Linked DNA regions of Rattus norvegicus. The protein of the gene in region 1 binds, or shares a complex with, the protein of each later gene. Links are inferred from orthologs where the notes say so. Each region holds a gene or a part of one and is shown in the gene's direction. Other genes may lie near its edges. The genes, in order: Fmn2 and Spire1.

Region 1 (4,458 bases):
GGCCCACAGGCAAAGTGTGCCCTGGGGGCAGCCTGCTTGCTAGAAAAAAGGAACCAGTAGTCTTGTGAAAGAGGTGGACTAAAGGCCTTTCAGACTCTTGGGATCCCTTGGAGACCAGGATATTACCCTGGCACAGTTATTATTAAAGCTGAGTTCTTCAAAGTGTTTACTCAAAAAGGCCACCTAAGGACAACAATCCACCTGCCCCAGCAAACACTTGTTTTAAAGATCATAGTTTAAGAAAGGCTAGTAATCACTGTCTGGATTTTCCAACAAGGAGTAACATTTTTTACAAATGCTACTTATGGTTTTTTGTTTGTTTGTTTATTTTGTTTTGTTTTTGTTTTTTTGTTTTTGCTTTTATTGTTTGCAGCCTTTTAAAATACTAATGATGCTGTAAGATGTTTAACAAAAACTGTAGTTTAGTGTCATTAAAATATAAAGACAACAGTTCACAGTAAGAATAAGTGTTTAATATCTAGGTCTGAAACTTAGGGAGCTCTGGTCCTGGACAAAGTGTGCTTGGACGGACCTTCGAGAAAAGTGGCCATCCTTTATAGCACAATGTCTAATTTCCTGGGTTTGTACCGAGGGCATTTTTTTTTCTTTTTCCTTTTTATACGGGATCGGGTTATGACACGTTTAATATTGATGAGTTTGACCTCCTGGGAGTTATAATACATGCGCCCCTTTTAAATACAAATGTCTGATTTATATGGTAAACGCACAGAATTTTGGAGATTAGCATTTTAATCAGCTTTAATCTCAGTATTTCCAGCATCCCCTACCTCTCTTTTCTCTGTCCAGAAAGGTCTCACAAACCCACTTTGGAAAGGACAGTTAATGTCCTGTTCTTGAAGAGGCTTGTGTATCAGGCACAGAGCCTAGGGAAGGAACCTTGCCCTAAGTAGCATACTCACAAACCTTAGAGTGTGCAAAGCGATGGTCAAGTATTTAAAAGACAGAACAGTCCGTCCATTCAACAAGTATTTGAACTGGAGCCATGCAGAAGTAGGCAGACTCTGTGTGTGTGTGTGTGTGTGTGTGTGTGTGTGTGTGTGTGTGTGTGTGTGTGTGTGTGTTTCTGATGATACGGTACTTCTGACCTGGAATTGGGCTTCGATTTTTCGTGTGTGTGCGTGTGTGTGTGTGTGTGTGTGTGTGTGTGTGTGTTTATTTTCTTCTTCTCTTTTTGCATGTCTGCGAGCTTTGAACTTTCATAAAAATATTCCAATATATCAGTTCTTGAAAAGAGGGCAACATGTTTTATTTTCAAGGTGGAGATTAAGGTCCCAGAGATAACCTGTCAGAAAGATTCTAAGTTCGATCTAGTCTGGGCTACTTAAAGATAGCTCCTGCTGCCCCCCACCCCCACTCCCAATTATGAAGTCCTAGAGATAGACGATTTTTTTTTCCTGCTTGGTTGCAGGAGGAGCCAAAGGGGGCACTGAGGGGGCGGCGGCGGTGGGCGGGGAGCCAGGCCAAGGCTGAGTCCTGTGCAGCCATTGGTGGGGAGTGCGCGCTGAACTGAGCATGTTCGCGCCCGCCAGCCAGGGCCGCAGCCACAGCCGCAGGGACGGCAGCCGGGAGAGCCACCGCGCATTATGCAAAGCGGCAGCAGATGTGAGCGGGGCCAGCTGGGCGCTCCTCGGCCTCCCCTCCCAACGGCCGGCCCAGCTGCCTGAATTGTCCCGGACACTCCCCTGGCCCTCTCCAGGGCCGAGATGGCCTGAGGACCCCAAGGCGCGGCGGCGCAGCAGTGGGGTTCAAACATGGGGAACCAGGATGGGAAGCTGAAGAGAAGCGCAGGTGATGCCTCTCACGAAGGCGGCGGCGGCGGAGCCGAGGATGCCGCGGGGCCCAGGGATGCGGAAACCACAAAGAAGGCGAGCGGGAGCAAAAAGGCGCTCGGCAAGCACGGCAAGGGGGGAGGGGGCAGCGGGGAGACCAGCAAGAAGAAGAGCAAGTCGGATTCTAGAGCCTCGGTGTTTTCCAACCTGCGGATCAGAAAAAATCTGGGCAAGGGGAAAGGTGCCGGCGACTCGCGGGAGGATGTGCTGGACTCTCAGGCCCTGCCGATCGGGGAGCTGGACAGCGCTCACTCTATAGTCACCAAGACCCCGGACCTCAGCCTCTCTGCTGAAGAGACGGGCCTATCGGATACCGAGTGTGCTGACCCTTTCGAGGTGATCCATCCAGGTGGTTCTAGGCCTGCCGAGGCTGGGGTAGGGATCCAGGCGATCGCCGAGGATTTGGAAACTGCGGCTGGAGCGCAAGATGGACAAAGGACCAGTTCTGGTTCGGACACGGACATCTACAGCTTTCACTCCGCAACGGAGCAGGAGGATTTGCTCTCAGACATCCAGCAGGCAATTCGCCTGCAGCAGCAACAGCAGCAGCAGCAGAAGCTGCTGCTCCAGGACTCCGAGGAGCCTGCAGCGCCCCCCACTGCCATCTCCCCTCAGCCTGGGGCCTTTCTGGGCCTGGACCAGTTCTTGCTGGGAACTAGCAGCGAGGCTAAAAAGGACACCGTACAGGCACCACCGGTGAGACCTGACTTGCCTGAGACCACCAAGTCTCTGGTGCCTGAGCATCCTCCGTCCTCCGGAAGCCACTTGGCCTCTGAGACACCGGGCTATGCGACCGCCCACTCCGCAGTCACAGACACGCTCTCTTCACCAGCCTTCACCTTTCCTGAGGTTCCTGAGGCTGGGCCAGGGGAGGGCGCCGCCGGAGTCCCCCCAGCTGGAACTGGGGACACAGATGAGGAGTGCGAGGAAGATGCTTTTGAAGATGCTCCCCGGGGCTCTCCAGGGGAGGAATGGGCCCCAGAGGTGGAAGAAGCCTCACAGAGACTGGAGGAAGAGCCGGAGGAGGGGATGAGAGGACCCATTATCCCCGCAGTCGCTTCTTTGCCTGGCAGCCCTGCGCCCAGTCCACGCTGCTTCAAACCTTACCCACTCATCACCCCCTGCTACATCAAGACCACCACTCGGCAGCTCAGCTCGCCCAATCATTCCCCATCCCAGTCCCCCAACCAGAGTCCTAGGATCAAAAAGCGACCGGACCCTTCCGTGAGCCGGAGCCCCAGAACTGCCTTGGCCTCAGCTGCGACCCCGGCAAAGAAGCACCGGTTGGAAGGTGGCCTCGTGGGCGGCCTCAGTCGCTCAGCCGACTGGACCGAGGAGCTAGGCGCCCGTACGCCTGGGGCAGGAGGCTCGGTGCACCTGCTGGGACGCGGGGCTACTGCGGATGACAGTGGTGGCGGGTCCCCTGTGCTGGCCGCCAAGGCACCTGGGGCTCCAGCGACGGCTGATGGCTTTCAGAATGTGTTCACAGGTAAGCGCGCCTGCCACGTATCTCCGGGTGGCAGGTCGCCTGCCAATCAGGTCCTTTCTCTACCACCCCGCCCCCTCCACGTTCTGAAAGGCCCTGGCCGGCTTTTTGGAGATCTTAATGTTGCCAGGCACCTTTCCTCAGTTCAAAGCCTTGGGTGTGCTTGGTTCTCTATTCTCTTTTCAGGATAGTGAGGGGGGTGGGGGGATGTAGGTGTCTGTCCAGAGTCGTCTCAGAGAGGACAGTTATGCTCACTGCCACCCCCCCCTCCCCGCGTTCCTCTAAGAATATTAACCCCTTTTGTGGCTTGTTACCTCGGTCATTTTAAAATGTTAAAACTGTGTACAGACCTTCCCAAGGATTTGTATTGCAGGCACACAACAGTTCTTCTAATACATTCTAAAGGTTATGTCTGACTACCTCAAAGATAGTTTCTATCATGTAGTGGTCTGGGTACCCCCCACAGGTAATTTGCGAAGTTAAGTGATAACTCCTTTTTGCTAATGCAAGCAAGTATGATATATGCTCTTAGAAAATGAATAAATAATCAGACCATTAGCAAGGTGTTATTTATTTATGATTCTAAGGATTGAAACTAGGGCCTTTTGCTTGCTAGGCAGGTACTGTACTACTGAGCTATGTCCTCAGATTTTTGAGATCCTTCTTTTTTTTTTGATAAAGGGTTTCACTAAGCTGCCTAGGCAGGCAGGGAACTTGCTGACGACCTGCGAGTCAGTGAGAGAAAGCTGGGATGTGGAAAGATTACAGATGGGCAACTGAAAGCTGGCGGCTCCCACTGGTACTGTCTTCCTTAGGTGACTGACTGCACCTATGATAGGTGCAGTCTGTGGGAGAGACCACAGCCAGCATCAGCTTCCTGGGCTGAAATGCAATCATTATTTCTTCTTGTAGCTGCAAAGCATCTCCTAAGGGGTTCACTGCAGATGTCAGTGGGTTTCCCATTTAACATATTATTTTTGAAGAAGTAATTGAAAGAGCAGAGAGAAAAACAGCAGCATTCGATGCCTGTGCTCATGGGTTTTAGATAAATACATGAAAATTCAATAATTTTAAATGGAAATTAAAATCCGTTATGTTGTTATTATAATAAACATGTTATCA
Region 2 (4,599 bases), on another chromosome or scaffold:
CTTGTTCAAAGGATGGTAAGCTCCTCGGTATTGTCAAAAGTCACACAGGATCCGGACTTTTAAAAAAGCAAAATTTGAGGGTTGGGGATTTAGCTCAGTTGGTAGAGCACTTGCTTAGCAAGCGCAAGGCCCTGGGTTCGGTCCCTAGCTCCGGAAAAAAAAAAAAGCAAAATTTGGCTATGTTGGTATATTAATATATCATATATTATTAATGTTATCATAGTAATCCTAGTATGTATTAATATTATCATAGTAATCCTAGTATGTATTAGTCTCCCACACAGGACTGAGAAAGGCCTCTGCCTCAGAGTTTTGGCACACAAATACTACATTTGTTTTCTTTTACATATTTGTATGTATTGGGTATGTGCACATACACACGGAGTTCAAAGACCAACCACGTGGAGTGGAGTCTCCCCTTCAACTATATGGGCTGCAGCTTGGCAGCAAAGTCCGTTCACCTGCTGAGCCGTCTCACTGGCCCTAAATACTGCATTTTTATATTTGAGATTATGAACCCATAATTAAGTAATTTTTCTTGAAGAGCTTGTTTTATATCTCTTGCCTTGAAAACAAAAGGCGTCCACTGAGTTTTTCCTTAACCGCCAACTTCTAACCCTTAATGACTTTCTACTATAAAATTAACTGTAGGGTGCCATTTCCCACATTCCACATAAAATTGTACCTACTACGATGTTCTTACTTGGTTGATGCTACAACTCTAAGGACTTCGAAGGCTAGCCTGGGTAGAATGTTACCAATTAAAACCATCCATGATTGGATGGACATTTTAAAGAGTTATTAGCTTTAATCGCACACTGGAAGGGGTTCAGAGAGGCCCCTAGAGTTCTTTTGTACTCCAGATAATTGTCCTTAGTTTTGTCTCTGACACCTATTCCTTCTCGAATTCCTTCTGGGTTAACTAGGCTAGGATGAGTGTGGTTATTACCTCAGGGGAGATTGAATCTGTAAGGCCTTGTGCATCACATCTCAGGCCCTGATCTAGGCTTTCGGAGAATTTGGCAAAGCAAGCCTTTGATCGTTGTCCTCACTGAACGTCTGAGTGGAGAGAGTACCAACACTAAAGAAGCATTGAAGAAGTAGCGGGACATGGTGGTTCAAGGCCAGTTTGGTTACCCAGGGAGACTGTTTCAAAATAAATGAATAGGAAAATATATTTAAATAATTTTGCAGATGTGCAGAGAGATAGTATGTGTCAAATGGTCCTGAGAAACAGACGAGTCTCAAAGGACCCAGGGGGCCTGTGCTCGCAGGCCAAAGCTGGAAGCGCTGGGCAGCCAGTGGCGAGGGTGATTCAGATGACCGTTTCTTCTTGATAAATCGCCCCAGATTGAATTCAAGTTCTTAAATAGACTGTGGGAGCCGAACGGGTGACAGCGACTTCGCGGCCAGACGCCTGCAGGACCACGGCTCGGGCCCCAACCTTGCGGTCGCCCCTCGCCGCCCGTCACTCACCTCGGGGGTGACGCCCCCAGGCCGTGCTCAGCCGCGCGTCACTCACATCGGGAGGGGGCGTGACGCCCCCCCAGGTCCTGCTCGGCCGCGCGTCACTCACCTCGGGGGTGACGCCCCCAGGCCCTGCTCGGCCGCGCGTCATTCACATCGGGGGTGACGCCCCCAGGCACTGCTCCGCTGCGCGGCCCCCAAGAAGGGGCGGGGCGAGGCGAGACGGGGCGGGGCTAGTGGACGCCATCGCCGTGCTACCGGCCGGCTGCGTGCTGGTCAGCACCGAGCGCCGCGGTGTCCCCGCCTAGTCCCCGCGGCGGCGCGCAGCCGGCCTGGGCGGCGGCAGCCCGGGATGCGGAGGCGGCGGCTCGTAGAGACGATGCTCCAGCGCTGAGGAGACGCGGCAGCCGAGCGCCGGCGGCGCAGCGACGTGGGCCGCATGGCGCAGCCCTCAAGCCCGGGCGGCGAGGGGCCGCAGCTCGGCGCGACAGGGGACCCGCGCGACGCGCTGAGCTTGGAAGAGATCCTGCGGCTCTACAACCAGCCCATCAACGAGGAGCAGGCGTGGGCCGTGTGCTTCCAGTGCTGCGGCTCCCTGCGCGCCGCCGCCCGCCGCCAGCCCCACCGCCGCGTGCGCTCGGCCGCGCAGATCCGCGTCTGGAGGGACGGCGCCGTCACCCTGGCGCCCGCCGCGGACGAGGAGGGAGAGCCGCCCCCTGCCTCCGGTGAGGTCGCGGCCCGATGCCCCCGGCCCGGTGGGAAGCTGGCGGGCGGCTCCCGGAGGGCGGGCGGGGCTGCGGGACCCGGGTTCCCGGGAGGCTCTGTGCGTGTCCGCCGGCCTCGGCTGTTTACCGGGGGCTGAGGTGGGGGTGGGGTGGGGTGGCGAGGGCTCCGGAGATGCATGTGTGAGGTTCGGTCAGGAAGATGACATCCTTGGGAAAAGGAGCTGGCCCTTCGTAGCGTTTTGAATTTGTCAGTAGTCCTTGGAAATGGTAGGGAAACCACTGAACCCCCAAGAATTGTGCTATTTTGGAGAGAAATAGAAGAAATGAGGACTCCGGGTACCCTGTGTGAAAATTCGCTGTGGTGAAAAGTACAGGTTTATAAGAAGTAAACAGGCTGTTTAGATGAAATTGCTTTTGGTTAGTCCGCGTACATTCTTCATGACTTGTCACCTAAACAGTGACACATTACCAGGAGCTTACTCACATGCTTTATTGATGGGAAGACTAGTAATAGGTTTCCCCTATCCGGTTTTATCTAATTCATTCTTTGAGAAGCAAGTCTATTCAAAACATAGCAAAACAATCCACCTTCACCTTTAGAAAGTTGATGGAAGTGTCAAAATGCTCAAGGATGGAAAATGTAATTAGAATAGTCTGTAAAACGACATTTCGTGAAAATCCTTTTCTAAATTGAGGGAAACGTTCAGTATTATCAGCCCTACTAGAATATTCTCTCATTTTTAGTTCAAGTAAACATAGTTTTGTTTATTTATTTAAAGCCAGCCATTGGGATGTATTAATAACCTCAATGTTGCACTATTTCAGAATACCGTGTGACGTTTTCATACACGTGTACCTCGAATGATATTTAAAGCCGACCTTTTGATGATCTTTTTGAATCTTTTTTCTCCCTTCAAACAAACATTTTTTCTTTTATTTGATCTGTTGCTTGATTTTAGACCTTGGCCTTAGTAGATTACAGTTTCAGTTGTAACTTATTTATAAGATGCCATGAAAAGATAATTTTTTTCCCCCAAACAACGAGGCTTTGTCTTGGTCCAGAACTCTTTCCAAAGGAGAGAGTGTGTGCGACCTCGCTTCAGAAGAATCTTTGGTTCTATTGAAAGAGCAGGCCTGGTTGTATGGTGTATCAAGAACTGTTAAGGAACTTGATCCCAGAAATGTTTTGACTGTCAAAGACCGATAGATTCTTTGTGGGTGATTCTTCTAACTGTTGTTGTTGGAACGATGAGGAACGATGAAATGAGTGCATCATTAATATTGGGTGTAATACATTTTGCAGAGAATAATAAATAGATGATTCCCAGAAACTAATGAATTTTTTAAAACGTATTTTTAAATGTCTATATATTGTTAATTGAGTGCATCTTGTGGCGGAGCACTTGCCTCAAGGCATGTGCAGCCAGAGGACAATGTCGCCACACCTGTTCTCCTACCTTTAAACGGGTTCTGGGGGTCAGACTTGGGTTGCCAAGTTTGTGAGGCAAGCCTTTTACTCACTGAGCCATCTCACCAGGCCTTTATTTTACATTTAATTTTCCTTTTTGGGGGACTAAGTCTCCTGTACTCCAGCAGAAGCTGTTCTTGAACTCCTGGTTCTTCTGTCTTCACCTCACAAATGCTAGGATCATTGGCATGGACCTCCACACCCTACTTTGTAATGGATTTAACCATCTTCTGTCTCCTATCCAACTCATGATCTCTGCTGCCAGATACCAAGAGAACCTAATCAGAGTAGTTGGTACAGTCTGGAACATCTCAGGGCTTGTTGGTTAAAGCATTAGAGATGGGGGCAGGAGAAAGAATAGAATAAAAATACATTTATGAGAAAGTTTTTAATAGAAATATTTAGGGTTGTTCATTGTCAATGTAATAATAGTTTATTTCATCCTGGGATGTAATACTGGGTCCTTGGTTGTAGAAAATACATTAGTTTTAAACATTTAATGTTGAATTTTGTTTAAGACAGGGTCCTCTATAGCCTGAGTGGGCCCCAGACATTTTCGTGGAGCAGAGGCTGACCTTGAACTCTTTGATCTTCTTGTCTACAACTTCCTAAGTCCAACTACTGGGCTGCAGATGTGTACAATTAATTCTAGCTTTAAATTTGCTCTTAAAATGTGGTTAGTAATGTCTATTATGGTTGTCTGCATAGATTCTCTCTCTCTCTCTCTTTTAAGATTTATTTATTTTATGTATATTAATACACTGTCACTATCTTCAGACACACCAGAATAGGCATCAGATCCCATTACAGATGGTTGTGGGCCACCATGTGGTTGCTGGGAATTGAACTCAGGACCTCTGGAAGAACAGTCAGTGCTCTTAACCACTGAGCCATCTCTCCAGCCCGAATCTTTCTCAAGAAAGAAAAAAGTGATTAAAA

The links.
Region 2: the proteins of Fmn2 (region 1) and Spire1 are in contact, whole or in part, in a crystal structure (PDB 2YLE), measured with the Homo sapiens proteins. The link is inferred for Rattus norvegicus from reciprocal best matches to the Homo sapiens genes FMN2 and SPIRE1. Residues at the interface, in NP_064450.3 of Homo sapiens: Ser1702, Leu1703, Lys1705, Ile1706, Lys1707, Pro1708, Arg1709, His1710, Gly1713, Ile1714, Lys1715, Lys1717, Ile1718, Lys1721, Thr1722; in NP_001122098.1 of Homo sapiens: Gln51, Pro52, Ile53, Asn54, Glu127, Ile131, Tyr134, Lys135, Asp138, Leu141, Lys142, Glu143, Asn144, Glu145, Glu146, Arg147, Glu148, Glu154, Ile157, Asp158, Ala161, Asn162, Thr163, Val164, Glu165.

What each region holds. Positions count from the first base shown.
Region 1 is NC_086031.1:88,985,303-88,989,760, forward strand, and holds the start of Fmn2 (formin 2), read left to right. Parts: upstream 1-1,560; 5' UTR 1,561-1,772; coding exon 1,773-3,339; intron 3,340-4,458. UniProt on the Homo sapiens protein: Actin-binding protein that is involved in actin cytoskeleton assembly and reorganization. Acts as an actin nucleation factor and promotes assembly of actin filaments together with SPIRE1 and SPIRE2.
Region 2 is NC_086036.1:63,438,638-63,443,236, reverse strand, and holds the start of Spire1 (protein spire homolog 1), read left to right. Parts: upstream 1-1,702; 5' UTR 1,703-1,906; coding exon 1,907-2,192; intron 2,193-4,599.